4 linked regions of the Coturnix japonica genome follow. The protein of the gene in region 2 interacts with the protein of the main gene of each other region in a pairwise test. Links are inferred from orthologs where the notes say so. Each region holds a gene or a part of one and is shown on either strand. Other genes may lie near its edges. The genes, in order: CBY2, LMO1, SOX5 and PTPN3.

Region 1 (4,344 bases), on a different chromosome or scaffold from region 2:
CCAATCATCTCTTTGAAAAGTATGGCCAACCTAAGGTACCTCAAATTAAGAGTGAAAAGAATGAACTCTTTTTTGAATATGCAGGCTCTCCATTAGCAGAAAATCCCCCCCAAAAGGCTGAAAAGCATGCTTTCCAGGCACCACGCTACCAAAAGTTGAAATCTGCCCAGGTAATATAAGAAAGTTTCAGAATAACACAATACTCTCCAGCTTTAATTTTAGTTCATGCTCTGCTTGTATTTTATTAAGTTCCTGGAAACAAAGAGAGGCACTTTCCAGGAAACAGAACTAGCAGGTTTAGCACCAGGCTTCAAATCTCTCCAAGTTGAAACTCGTTTGCCATGTTCTTCCCTTCTTCTTCATATATTGGGAAAGTGATGGCGATGAGCTCTTTCTCCAGCATTTCCAGTTGAGTTGTAATGTCTGACACAGTGTTTTTCACGTTATTCAGCTGCAGCTTCAATTTCTTGTACTCTTCCTGGAAGAATTTTTTCTCATCTTGGAGAGCGTGAAGGCTGTCTCTGTCATCAGCAAGACATTTCTCCTTGAGGAACACCTGGAGAATCTGGTATAAGTCATGGAGAGCCTGAAGGATTTCATTATCATCCTCTGCGGTTGGTGCAATCTTGGTGTCATTCTGGGTTGGCGTGGTGCTCTCCTCTTTGGCATCATGCTCCTCCTGGGAGGATGTGCCAGGGCTACCTTCTCCCGCAGCTGTGGTACATTCAGTGACCTTCTGAACTGAGCTGGCGCCTTTGTTCTCTTCTTGGACTATGAAGGTTGGTTGATCTTTCCAAATGCTGGGAACTGTTCTATTCTGCTTATGGAAAAACTCTAAGAAGCTGCTTCTTTCTCTGACCAGCTGGAGAGCCTTGTTGCTTGGACTGACCTGAAAACCTAAATGCCTCTCTGGGAAGAACGAGGACAGCTTATCTTTCTGGAGGCTTTGCTGGATGATGTCACTGTAAACAAGCTGGACACCTTTGTTCTGTGTCTGGAGATATTGCAGAGCCTTATTTTCTTCCCAGAGCATCCTGTTTTCGATACGGAGGACTTGGTTTTCCTCCCAGAGGGCTCTGTTCTCCTCCCAGATGCTCCACTCGTTCTCTGTCTTCTTGTTAAGGAGTCTCCTCTGGGATGCAAATGTTGGCTGGCAGTGCACCTCATTCACCCATTTACCATCAATAAATGTAAATGTCTCATCCCTCAGTTTCATCCGTGGGAAGACACAGTCCATCTCGGGCCTTGTACCCCGTGTGCTCTGGTTTGTCAGGTCAAAAGCAGACATGGTTATCTGTTGGCAAACAGAGAAAGATTGTGAAAAGACTTCTGCAGGAGGCCACTGCAGGAGGCCACTGCCCACTGGCAAGGACTAGATGACACAGAAGCTGGAGATGAAGCTTGATTAGGACTGCAAGAACAGGAGAAAACAGGCACTAGTGGAGAAGGCAAAGCCTTGGTGGCACCACAAAGTTTGATACAAAAACCTGGACTCTCTTTTCATCCCCTTGCATCAGTTTTACAGTCATGGAAGATAAATAAAATGCAGAAAGTCATATGAAATGAGATTGAGATTGAACTGCTTTTTAAAACAAAAGTATTTGTTTCTTTTTACCACAGCATAAAACTGTTGGGTTTTTTTCTGATAAAAAAAAAATGGTAGGCTGACTGCCAGTTTTTATCCTTCTTGCCCCAAAGCCTTCCAGTCACCCTCCTGTCCTATATGGCATCCAGTGCTGCCATATGACTGGTGGGCAGTCATTTTGCCTCTGTATCTGTCCCAAGCACTTGGCAGGGGGTCAAAGCCATGGCCCAGCTCTGCCAGGACACTGAACCCTTTGTCCTGTTTTGCCCCACAACCTTCACCAGCTGCTGCCTCCCTGGGCTCCTCCAAGTTACTTCTGAGACCCACCACCCACAGCTACCTCCTTCTTTGCCTTCCCAAACTTGCTTGAAAGCTCAAAGACATATTGCTACTGTTCAAAGCCCCAAATCTCTTCTTGAAGGAATAATTGCAATATGGGTCTGTTTGCCGTAACACTTGATTTTATTGATATAAGGTCTCTGCTTAACTTTCAGAGCTGCCTTCCGCATTGCCATCTGGTATATCTCACATCAGACTTGTGTTTGCATAATGTCATTCCTCTGCTAAAAGGGATTTCCCACTGTTTGCAACTGCTTGCCAATTTCCGCGTTTATTTTTCCCCCTTACATTGTGTTCAGAGCACAGCGAGCAATTTGTTGCTCCCTGCCTCACACAGACCTGTCCTTTTCCCTCAGAGGGTGCTGATGTCCCTGTCATTATCCCCATGATGGGAAGCTGAATCACAGGGGGAACTGATCCCTAAACCCTGATGAGAAAACAGCCAGCATCACAAGCCAAGACCCACCCTTCACTGTGTTTCATGCGCAGGCATTTAAAGCCACTTATGTTTAAAGTGTTTATATGGCAAGTTTTGAGGATAAACAGCAGTATATAATGTATACAGCATTGAAGGATGTTGTCCTGGGGTCAATTAAACTTGACAGCACCTCTATCAGCTCCTGTGTATTGCAGGGGAGAGGTCAACCCAGGCTTCAGAGAAATTTTCCCACCTTCCTTATTCATATTCCCAAACTAAAAATTCCTTCCACAGGATGGGGAGATGGGTTGGAGGAGCAGGGTTGGGGGAGACCGCATGAAATCAAGCATATATAGGTGTTTTGGCAGTACCAAATTACATACCAGCATGTACTCACCTGCTTGTTGGAGATGATACTCTACCCTCTTCACTGCCCTGCACAGCTGCCAGGTCTCCGCTTGGCTTTTTAGCCTGAAGTTCTGCTCCAAGTTCTGTATGGGGGGGGCATGGTGATGAGATGGGACAATGGAACCCACTGTGATGCGATCACCACGCCCAGAGCCAGCCCCTTCTCCACAAGTCCAGGAGCTCCCCCCTCTCCCCCCTCACAGCCCATTTTGTTTTATTTTTCCCAGCATTGCACATTTGGGTCATTTCTCATGGAAACGACCTTTCCAGTAGCCTAGCTCTCACGTCCTTTCTTGAACCCAGGCTTCCCTCTCTGATGCACATAACTGAGAGCAGTTTAGATGGATTCTCCCTCCATCACGCTCTCCTAAAAGAAATTTTGCTTTTATTCTGAATCTAACACATTAATTCTCTGGCTGAACCAATGCTGATAAGTTCAAAAACCACTTCCTTCTGTGTATGCGCTATGACAGCTGAAGTTATTTTTAAAGGACAACATGGATATGAGTTTTTCTGTAACTATAAGTTAAAGAGTAGATCATCACTGAACCCCATTAAGAAGAAAACAGAACATGCAGGGCATTCATGCATTACAAGTTTAGATATTATTTATAGCAGCTATTCCTGCTTCCATGTCTTTATGTTTCTAATAATCTCATTCTCTCTCTTATTTGCTTAATCTTTTAGATGTGGATTATTTCTTCATCTTTTTTCCTGTCATCAGGGTTTTTGAATAATAAATACAGCAATTAATGTCTATTCCAGTGAAAATTACCAACTTGACATCAATCCCAAAGTGACTGTTATTGCTTTAGGAAGTTAAAGGTATAGTTTGGCTTCAGTGTTCTGCAAAGATAATAAACTTAGGCATACAATTCTCTTCTGTATTTTTTTCCTTGTTTCTATTTCATCTCAGACAACACAATAAATAAGTAAATCAGAAGTTCCCATGACAACTCCCCGGGGTTCATTCTCCTCTGTTCAAGTTCTGGGGTCCTACAAAGAGAAACTGGAAAATATCCCCCTAAGAAGTAGTTGGCCTTCAGTCAGATGGCAGTGCCAGGGTGCTGTCCAGCTGCTACAGCTCTCAGGGGAGGCAGCTGAACTTCTGAATACCTGAGTGTGTGGACCACTGGCACAGACCTTAAATGAAAGTTTTAAGTTCTAAGAGCCGACAGAAAACTGAGCTAACAGAGACAAGGGCACCGTGGATTTATCAGCAGGCAAAGCCTGCTTGGTCCAGAACTCCTAGGAACTAAGTTAGCTGCATACTTTCACTTTTTCTTATGCATTTTCTTATTGTCCTGAATGTTGGATAAAGTTCTTCTGGCAAGTCACTTCTTTGTTGAAAGTTACAACTTCAAACAGTAATATATTTGGATCCAATTTAGCGAATATCATCAGATGTGCATACATGTATGTGGAGACACACACCAGAATTGTAAAGACACAGCTGTTCACGGCAGAACTTTTCAAAGCAACTGCACTGACTTCTGAGCTATATTGTCCTAAGGATAAGGCTGTCATTCACAAGGCTGTGAAGGCAGAAATAATGTTGACTGCGTTCCCTTCCCTGTCAAGAGATGGTAACTCC
Region 2 (4,191 bases):
ATTGCTATTATGATGACTGAATTTTTGTTTTGTGTCAAGCATTATTCACACATTATACTCAAAAATTTGATCCCTCCACGACGCATTATTGATTCCATGCAGGCAATCATGCTGCCGCCAATGTGAAGAATTAATTTGGGCTATTCTGCTTGATTTGCATTGCTCCATCATAGCAGAACACAACTCTATGGGGAAACACAAATTGAAAAGGAAGATTTGACAAAATATGGAAAATGCCGCCGTCCTTTTAAAGAGATGAGCCTTAAGAAGAGGAGGGGGAAAAAAGCTGAAAATAACAAAGCCCAGCACAACACGTGTGGTCCAGTAAGAAGTAAGGTCAGCCAGCCAAATTCATCTTAGTCAGAGGAAGGTTACAAGAGTAGCCTTACGCCTCTAATAAAGTAAACTAGCTTGCTTCAACTTGTATTGCCAAAGAAAACAAGCGAACACCTCTGAGAGCAACACTGCTCCAAAGCCTTTGAAACCTGTTAGCTCCATTTGTTTTCCCAGCATAAGCAATGCTCAACCACTTAGCGTGTCTTTTATCCGCAGTCCAGTCAACTGCAAAGCTGATCTAGAAGATGTGAAACAGATGCTTCACATCCACCTCTTTTTTATCAGAGTTCTCCCGCGTTAACAAAGGGAATTATGAGATGGCTTGACTGAAATCTAGACAGGGATTCCATGTGTTTTGACCTGAAGATTATTTCACAGTTTTAGGATGCCAACTTCATTAGAACAGAATCCCTTGAGAAGGGCAAGCAAACTTACATGTGGGTGCTGAGACCCCACATTGAGTCAACATCTGATCAGAATCTCCTTAAAGAGGACACTGACAACGACTCATTTCTGCTTGGTCACAAATGTTGGGCGCATAACCTCCAAGCCCATGCACACTTTGTCCACTGTCCCAAGCACTTCACACCTGAATGAGACAAAAACCCACATTCCGTCCCAGAAACAAGCCTCAAACTGCTACGCGCGTCAGCACACTGCATCATTTTACAGACTAAAGGTGTCAGGAGACGAAGGACCTCAAAATGCTAGATGCAAAGCATAGTGTTTCCCGATAGTATATCTTGGGGTGTCGTGTAGGGAGAAAGAGGAGCATCAGTCCAAGATTGGTTAAAAGCGAGATTACTTCCATTACGGCCAAGTCTTCTTTTCTGATTGTGGTCCAGTACAGCATTAATTTGGCTTTGAAACACCCCAAAATAGATAGGTGTTAGGGAACAGAGAATATATTGCTTCAACCTATCAATGGGGAAGCTTTCGGCACTGCTCACAATGCACAATTACAGGAAAGCAAGAGACTGAATTGCATGTTATTTTCCCCAAATATTTCTAAAGGTAATACATATATTCAAGTAAAATTCACCCTACCGCCATAACATTCCATTTTCTCCAAGTTCTTTGGATCCCCATGAAAAACTGCTTCCTGTCTACAGCCTGCAAGCATTCACTATTTTCTCCTATTTCCAAGTAAACTTGCTGGTTATAGAGAATTCTATATAAATAAAAGCAGAGAACCCAGCAACTGAGCCATCAGCACAGCCCTTCACTCACTTACAAAGGTGAGATGGAGCAAGGAGATGATGGCTGTGGCGGTGTGCTGGGTGTTACAATGCAGCTCCTGCCTTCGCTACGCAACACGCCAAGGCGAGTGGCATTGCCAGCGCAGGAAGTTCATCAGGATGGCCACTGATGGCTTCCACTGCTTCAGTCTTTCTTTGCTGGCAGTGTGCAAGTTAGAAGGGAATTTCCAAACCGCAGCATAGCGGATCCTCATTGAGAAGTTGCGATGGGACTTACTGCGTACATCCCAGGCACAGCTGGTGAGCAGGCAGTTGGGTTTGGTACTACCGAGCACTGCCTGCCAGCATCAGCACCCAGCCCTCAGCCGCCCGCAGCAAGGGCTGCTCTTAACAGAGTGACTGTTTGCTAAGTCCTAAATTAAGTCAGGTCCTACTTCCGTTTCATTCATTCAGTCACCTCCCAGCAAACATCCATTCAGAGTTGGGAAGAAGGCACAGCTTTTCTACTGGAGCAGCTTACGAGCTTATCATCAGCACGGTTAGAGCAATGGAGAAAAGATGCGAGAAATAGATATTAAGGGCGTACATTAAGGAGACCCAAATGACACGCAACGGGAAGGAAACCATCTCAACATCAGGTTTACATTCAGAGCCATTAAAATAAATGAATGTATTAGGGTGAGTTGGAGGAGGAAAAAATCTAAGCAGACAACAATAAAAATAAGAATGAAGCTGCTTCCGCACGCGGTGCTCGGGGTAAACCCTCGGGTCCCGCCGGGAGGAGATGACACGCGTGGGCACGCAGTTCCCGGCCGCGTCCCGGCGCCGCTCGCCCACCTACCGTCGTCCTGCTCCAGCACCATCATCGCGGGGCTGCGCTCGGGCAGCGCGGACCTCCGGAGCGGGGGAGTCCTCGTGCGGCGCGGGGCTCCAATAGCCGCCCGTCCGGCGTTTAACACAGATCTCGCTCCGGCAGAGCGACGCTCGGGGGCAAAGCGCTCTGCGGGTACGACTGCGGGGCTCACCTACTTCTGCGCCGCAGAACTGCGAGGAACTAAAACTGCAATTTAGAAAGAAGGGCGATCGGAGCGGTTCCTCTGGTTCTCACCTCCTCAACGGCTCAATTTACAGCTCATAACCTATTTTCACGCGATCGCTTCTGACGGCCCGTTCCCCCGACCGCCGCAGCGAGCCGGCTCTCGGCTTTATGAAGCGTCTCTCTTCGGTTTCGGGCTGAACCCAGCTCCCGTCACCCCGGCAGGCCGGCCCGCAGCCCCGAGCGCAGCGGGGAAGGCAGGCGCCCGCCCCCGGCGGCGGGATGCGGCGCGGCAGCACCCCCTGCAGGACGCACCGCGCTCCTCGGCCCGGCCCGGCGCCTCCCGGGGAGCGGCCCGCGGGTCTCGGGGCCGCCGCTCCTCTTGGCGGAGCGCAGGGCACGGACTCGCCGGAGAGCGAGCTGAGAAGGTACCCGGCCGGCTGTACCCGGCGGTTGTACCCGTTGCTCGCAACTCTCGCTCCGGAGACTGTAGCTCCACTTTCACTCGGTCGCTACCACGGTGAATGTATCAGCTCGGCCCTTGCGGGTCCGCCCCACCTGTCAGAGACGCCATCGACGACCGAACGCAAAGCAACAAGTGCGGACCCTGCGCCCCGCAGCCCCAGCGCACACAGCAGCCGTCACCCCGACCGCGCTCGCACAACTGCAGGGTCATGATCTCCGCTGCCACCAGCCTCACCGCCTCGGTCAGCTTGTGATACAGAAAGCACTTCATTCCTATTTTAACTTCTTCCCTTCGCAACTCACACAACACACTGCAGGCTCAGGCTGAGTATCCGCAGTACTATTGCTAGTTAGATCCCTTATCCCCAGCTGAGGTGGCATTTTCTTCCCCTTCATTCCAAACGCTTGATCCCAACAACCCAACAAGTATCACGGCCCTAAAAGGAGGACGGTTCACCCAAAGATTAAGGCTAATAGTTGAAAGCACTAGGCACAAGCTAGCAGAAACACGGGTTGTTCTACCTTTGGAGTGTTTTAATACTTCTAATGTTTCTACCGGATCTCTGATGGAGGCTGTGGACTCCAAAAATGTCCCTTCGTTGTCCGCGTACATTTCAATCCCATCGCCTTCAACAAGGACGCACCGGTCCTAAAACACACGGCACATTTACACTCACACTGATGGGTAATGGCAAAAAAAAAAAAGGGGGGGGCTGTTTTCTGATGAAAATGAAGTTAGGCACTGCTTACTGAAGCTGAGTTCTGTGGCGGGTGGAATGCAGATAGCGGTAGGCTGATGTGGCACAGATCCCATACGTGTTCATCCTTTACTGCTTCACAGCATCACAGGAGCTGCATTACTCCCTTCGAAAATGGTTATTTCTAAGTGCTTTCACTGCTTACTCATTTAACACACCAACAATAAAAAAGTTTCCTAACCCCCAACGCATTTGTACTGCAATTAAAGCCAACGACAATTAACACAATCTGTCGGAATTAATCACGACGCCTCATGTCAGTTTACTTTTTTAAGCAGAAATCTGGGCTTTGCAATCAAAACATTTACGTATTTGAGAAGTATCTTAACTCTCATTATCCCGAGCTCCCTGAACGCGGTGCGTAGGCTGGCTTGCCCATAGCAAACCCAGCAGCGAC
Region 3 (2,686 bases), on a different chromosome or scaffold from region 2:
AAAAGCACCATTTAAGTGCAAAGTATTCCTATTGTTAAATATTAAAAGCAATTTAAGTGTGCTGAATCTTGTTACAGAAATGCTGACTCCAGAAAACAAAGCCTTCCTATTGAATTAAGAATAAAATGCAAATTAGATCCGCTCCCTTCTTTAAGAGCTGTGTCTTCAGCTGAGACAACTTAAACTTGTTTCAGCAACAAGGAAATAACGATTATACTGACAGCGGCCTCGCTTGAATGGCAGGCAGGAAGTAACTGAAAACACAGCTAGCAATTCCAAACAAATGTAAAGCTCTTTGGCTGAGGAGAGTCTTTCAGGATCACTGTACTGTGCGGGGCTTACTGTACAGCCAGGGCACAGCCAGGCAAGGGAACAGGGAAAGGTTTCATTCTTAATTACGAATGTTCATCTCAAGAGACTCTGCCCTGTCTCCTGTGGCAAGGCTTTTCAGTACAGATGGACACACCGCTGATGACATTACAATGTGCAGCATGTACTGAAGAGTATTACTGCAATGGAATTACTTCATGCAGCAAGGAAACAAAAGGAGCATGAATTTTAAACCTCTGGGCTTGTTGGGACCCTGAAGCTTCTCAGGGAAACAAACGCTGGTATAACACAGCTAGTGTTCTTGATGCAAAGGGAATTTCTATGGCCTGGAATAATTCGTCTTTCATTGCTGCAGACAGGTTTCCAAGGCTTAGATGCTATATAAAGGCATCTTATAGAGGATTTGCTCAAATGCTCATGTTGTTCGCTTGCTTTTTATTTATTTTTAAATAATGCATGCTTCCATTTTAAGTCTGGCTTTTCCCAGTTTTATCCACCCTGCTTCAAAGTTTCTGTTTTTCACCCGTTTTACTCACTCTGGTAACTGTCACCTTCCAGTGGGAGGCCGTTACCCACTTGGGCCCCAGAAAGCCCACTGCCCTTCTCTATAACAAGGGCCAGGTCCAGGTGTTACCATGCAGTAGACTTCTCTCATCAGAGAGGCCTTTCCTTTCTCCTCCAAAGTTACTTCCCTTTGCTTTGCAGACTGTCCAGCCTTAGCTTCATTTATCCTGTTAGCAAATTTTTATTTCTAATCCTTTCAACTGCTTGTGATTGTTTAAGAAGATTTTCAAAATGCATGGTTTTGTGAGGTAGTCCATGACTGAAAGGGTGCTTGCTTCTTTCTGGCTGCTCAGTAAAGAAATTTGCGTCACAGGCTGATAAGCTGAAGCTGTGTGGTTCAGGTGTAACTGAAGAAGTTCACAAAGGTTGAATTTCCTTAGCAGTGAAGTTGGTTTGGGCTCACTGTTCACATCAGGAGCATCAGTTGGTGAATCTGGAGTATTGATACCAGGGTAGTCATGTGTGGGCCATCCATAAGCTCCCTCTGAATGCTCAAGAGCGCATGCTAATGGGTTTGCCAAATGCCGTCATACTTGCTCTCTCTCTGCTTCTTGCAGTACTCAAATGTCCTCTTCCTTCTTCTCCATTGCAGGCAACAAGCACAGATTCCCATTGCCACCGCAGGTGTCGTTTACCCAGGAGCCATCGCCATGGCAGGAATGCCTTCCCCACACCTGCCCTCAGAGCACTCAAGTGTGTCCAGCAGCCCCGAGCCCGGGATGCCTGTCATCCAGAGCACTTACGGCATCAAAGGTGAGGAGCCCCATATCAAGGAAGAGATGCAGACCGATGACGTCAATGGAGAAATCTACGATGAGTATGATGAGGAAGAGGATGACCCCGATGTGGACTATGGCAGTGACAGTGAAAATCACATTGCGGGGCAAGCCAACTGATCAGGGTCCAAATACCATGTGACCCGCAGGACTTCAAGGAGAAAAGAAAAAATAAATAAAGCCCCATCTGGTTTATCCTTACCAGTGGCCAAGCACATTAACTTTCTCATACACTGACTGTTACTTTAACTGTTAGTCTTAACTAGTTGGGACATCAGCTGACTAATAGACATCAGCCTGCATCAGAAGAAAAAAGGCTCAGAAGAAAGGAAACAAAGACAACGACAACAACAACAGAATAATATAAGCTATGGGTAAAATAATGCCAGTAATTCAGCTGCTATACCCGAGCACTGAAGTCTTACCCGTCGACCTTTTATTATTATTATTTTTTTTTTCAAATAAACTTTATGGCTGTTTGTTCTACAATGTTCTAGAAATTCTCACTCAGGTACACAGTGCCAACAAGTGGCTTGTGAATGTGTTTTGTTGTTTTGTGCTACAGTTTAAAGAGAAATAATTTTTCTTTTTTTTTCCTTTTTTTTTTTTTCTTTTCCTTTTTTATTTTTATTTTTTTGGTAATGCACCTGACAGGAAAGAAGAAAAAGATAAAATTCCTTTTTCCCCTTCTGTCTCCTCCTTCTCCTCCCTGGCACGTTTGGGTCTGAAGCGTGTGTGTGTGTGCGTGTGCGCGTGGCTGGCAAGGAAGGAAGTGGGGAGCCTGTTTCTGTTAACCCCAGCAAGCAATTATTTCCTTTCAAGAGAGAACTTCTCTTCATCAGTTGCACATCATACTGAGTCTTTGAGCAAGTGCCAAATTTGTACTACAGCGCTGAACTAGTCCAATTTGCTTTATTTTATTTTTTGTTGGTCTTTGTTTTTGTTTTTCTTTGGGTTTCCTTTCTCTTCCTGCTCTATCTCAAGTTAGGACAGTGTTGTATCTTAGACAATCCCTT
Region 4 (3,599 bases), on a different chromosome or scaffold from region 2:
ATTACGACCTACTAAATTGTCTTCATGTTCCCTTTTTTAAGGCGGAGTCCTAGACTACGTCATGAAATTCGTAAAGCACGACATTCATCTGTAGATAACCTTACAAATGAGATTTCTTATATTACCGAGACCGAAGATGTTTTTTATACGTATAAGGGCTCTCCAACATCCAAAGACAGCGATTCAGAGTTCTCTCAGAACCACAGTCCACAGAGGAGGTAAGGGCTTCTGTAAACAATTCATTGCTCATTTGTCTTTAAAAACAAAATAGCCTTAGTATAAAACAGTCATCATAATTTACATCATTGAGTTCAAACAGTTTTTTGTTTGCATAAGATTTATTTTGACAAATTGTTAAAAGTGCAAATGCTGTGATACAAAATGACAAGTTTAAAAACCAACCCTTAACCCCTAAACAAAAATTTTCAATAAAATCAGAGGTGGCAAACCTGTTCTTATCTGTAATATCCCCTTTCCCAGTAAGTTTTGCAACCCTTTCCCACCTATTATAACCTTTCTTTTCTCTTGGGGAATCTTCATTGGGCTCTTAAAAGAGTTCATTTGTTTTCTACATTATCAGTTCCAGCTGGTTTGAAAGAATTACTGTGTTAGATTAAACATGGAAACATGATGATACTAGTGGTCATCTATCTTTTTCTTACTTTGAGGAATTGTAGATTGCCACTCTTTGGGCAGTCTGTACTTGTTGCCTTCAGGTGTTTTGCTCTATTCCTTAAGGACCAACTGTCTAACCAGGGCTATTATGTTTGCTTCCATGACCTGAAGCTCTTGTCTTTGTGCACTAATTATTTCTTTGCTTATACATTATATTTATTGTGTGGCTTTCCTCTTACTTAAAGAGTTATTTCTTAATGAGTAACTTCATATTAGCATAATACTAACTTCAGAAATAATAAGGGTACCAGGTCCCTGATCAGTCAAATTTTACAAAGAAAACAGAGTACTTTGAAACTTTCATCTAGGGAGGATACTTTGTATTAAAATGCAGGTTTCTTTATATTATTACAAAAGAAAAATAGCTTTGGGTGACCTCTTCCTTGTAACTCAAAGGCATGATGTATTTTGAGAAGCAGATTGATAGGAATTGCCTGTCTCTTTGGTAGCATTCAGCTTCATTGCAGTAGCTTTAAACCCAAGGCGAAGAGTTGTCTTAAAATATGAAGAAAACAGTTTTTTTTACTATATTATAGCATTGAGGTTTTAGGGGGGCAGGGAAAAGGGGCTGAGCAAGGGGGGGTAATGAAAATTTAACGTGCTGTATGCATATTTGGAGTTTGTCACTGGGGTTATTGAAAGTATTTTTCTATTCCTGCAAGTCAGATGTGCCGTTGTGCTAGTAGTGTCACTAATGGCTGTAATAATGTGTGTTGCCTCAAGATGTTGAGTAGCCACAGATATGAAGTTGTGTCTTTCATGTGTTTTAACATTTACAGACAAATTATGCCCTTGCAGAAGTAGTTAACCAAATAAAATTAATAAGAAGTAGACCATATGAGGAGATGGTGAATGTAGAAGCTGTTGGCAGAAAAACAAGTTGTTACCCTGTGTACTGTGACTGGTAGATTGTGTCCTGACTTCATCATTCTTGTTTTTATCTTTTCTTCTGCAATTTTTCTCCTTCCTGTTTTACCTTTCCTATTCCTCCTGAGGGTGGAGTGGGAAGGTCTGTTTTTTATGGACAGTGGAAATAGGGTGTTCTGAATGTGAAAACAGCTTATTTATTTCCTGAGCACTGATTTGTTCTACTGTATCTGAGTTACATCACTCACTGTAGATATTATGGTTACACCTCAGATAAACCTAATTTTCTGTGAGTTATTCCCAAAGCATTCCTTGTCTCTTTGGTATATTTATAGTATTGGATTTCATGCATGTAATTGAAAAAATACTTACATAAATGTGCTTAATTTAAATTCACAGTATGTTTAGGATGGAGAATATCGTGTATAGAATGAATGATCATTTATTACATTAACTGGTAGATGTAAAGTGGTACTTTTAGAAGTAAAATGGTCATTAATACTTCAACAAATGAGGTAAAACATTATGGTACTGTACAAATAAAAGAATGTTTAAACTCTACACTGATGTTTTCAATAGTTAGTCTGCATTCCACTTGTTATTCTTTATGTTCTTACATTTGTCATTATTTGCCTTGCTTCTTTTGTGGGAAGATGTAAGGTAAAATTAATTTTAGGTGTAGACAAATATTTTTCTCTGAATGCTTTATTGAAATAGAATCTGGTCTACCAGCTATATCTGCTTTGTAAGAAAAGCATTTAACTTGCCTATCTTTGGTATTATGTATGGACAAACATTTGTCCTGGACTTCTGCCATACTTCAGAATAGTTTAGTTATTAACTAGCAAACAGCTTGCAGTGTACTGATTAAACTTTTAAAGCTAACTTGCCTATTCTTGTCAGACTGTTCTTTAGTAGACTTGAACTGACACAATCAAGACGTGCTTTGGAAAAATATTGAAATTGCAAATCTGTTCTCATAGAAGGGGGCCCAAACTAGATTCTCCTAGCTTTTGTATTGCCTTTAGAGGACTCTTTTTTTTTTTTTTGTTTTTCTGCCTAGCCTGCAATCTCAGGCGAAAGTGGTTGTAGTTAATACTGAGTATAAATGATGAGTGTCTTTGGTGGGAGGAAAAATCTGAAAGAACTGTGGAAAGTTACTAGCAAGCAACTGGGAGATGCTTTTAAATCCCTTTATTATTGCTTGAACTGGACCTTGAATCTTCATTATAATCATACAGCTCCTTAACCTTAATCTGTGGCTATCATGAGCATTTCAGGGACTGCGGTAATGGGAGATGGTTTCTACTTGTTTCAGTTCAGACTCTGAATAACGTCTTAGGTTTTTTTCATCAAAGCAACATCTACCCCAAGACAGAATTGCCTTCAGAATCATCTGTTTGCTTATTGGTACAAATGTATAGATGAAACTTGTCTGACGAGATTTGTTGTGTACTTAATCAATTAAGTCATGTTTGGAATCTTGGGGGATCTTGGATTTATAGAAGAATGCATAGGTTTGCTTATCTAAGCCAACCATCTCAAATCACAGCTGCATGTAAAGCCTGTCATTGAAGATGGTGCTGAAGAGGACTTCAAGAAGACTTTTGTTTAGTCCAGGGTAATCCAGCCTCCGTGAAGAATCCTTCCCTGTTGTTTCTCCTCTTGCTTGCTGTGCTGCTGTCTGTCTTATCTGACTACTGCTGCCTCTGAAAAATTACACAGCTGGAGTACACGCTGAAGACTTACCTCTAATAGGTTGCTTTGAGTGTTAAACCACTTTTATTATTTCTGTGCCTCACCAGCACCAGAGCAGGTAATCTAGTCTATCCTCTGACTCTGTTTTGCACTATTTTACAATATACTTAACTTATCCTTTTGGATGTATACACATATTGCTACTACTGTTTTGTTTCAAGACAAGTAGTGAGATAAAACGTATTATTTATTAGGGACTCTTGGTATCTGTTTTTCACTTACAGTTGGCTTTCCCCATTCTTGCCCTGGAGGTATTTTGCTTTTGTTGAAAGATCTTAATTTTCTTCATTGAAGCAGTG

Evidence for each region.
Region 1: the proteins of LMO1 (region 2) and CBY2 interact in binary tests that used the Homo sapiens proteins (3 or more experiments, as listed by UniProt). The two-hybrid records come from large-scale screens. The link is inferred for Coturnix japonica from reciprocal best matches to the Homo sapiens genes LMO1 and CBY2.
Region 3: the proteins of LMO1 (region 2) and SOX5 interact in binary tests that used the Homo sapiens proteins (3 or more experiments, as listed by UniProt). The two-hybrid records come from large-scale screens. The link is inferred for Coturnix japonica from reciprocal best matches to the Homo sapiens genes LMO1 and SOX5.
Region 4: the proteins of LMO1 (region 2) and PTPN3 interact in binary tests that used the Homo sapiens proteins (3 or more experiments, as listed by UniProt). The two-hybrid records come from large-scale screens. The link is inferred for Coturnix japonica from reciprocal best matches to the Homo sapiens genes LMO1 and PTPN3.

Annotation. Positions count from the first base shown.
Region 1 is NC_029516.1:150,251,584-150,255,927, reverse strand, and holds CBY2 (spermatid-associated protein), read right to left. Parts: upstream 2,840-4,344; 5' UTR 2,740-2,839; intron 1,295-2,739; 5' UTR 1,289-1,294; coding exon 311-1,288; 3' UTR 212-310; downstream 1-211.
Region 2 is NC_029520.1:14,278,402-14,282,592, reverse strand, and holds the start of LMO1 (rhombotin-1), read right to left. Parts: upstream 2,811-4,191; 5' UTR 2,402-2,810; coding exon 2,377-2,401; intron 1-2,376. UniProt on the Homo sapiens protein: May be involved in gene regulation within neural lineage cells potentially by direct DNA binding or by binding to other transcription factors.
Region 3 is NC_029516.1:60,779,745-60,782,430, forward strand, and holds the end of SOX5 (transcription factor SOX-5), read left to right. Parts: intron 1-1,486; coding exon 1,487-1,790; 3' UTR 1,791-2,159; downstream 2,160-2,686.
Region 4 is NC_029517.1:46,429,465-46,433,063, forward strand, and holds part of PTPN3 (tyrosine-protein phosphatase non-receptor type 3), read left to right. Parts: intron 1-41; coding exon 42-218; intron 219-3,599.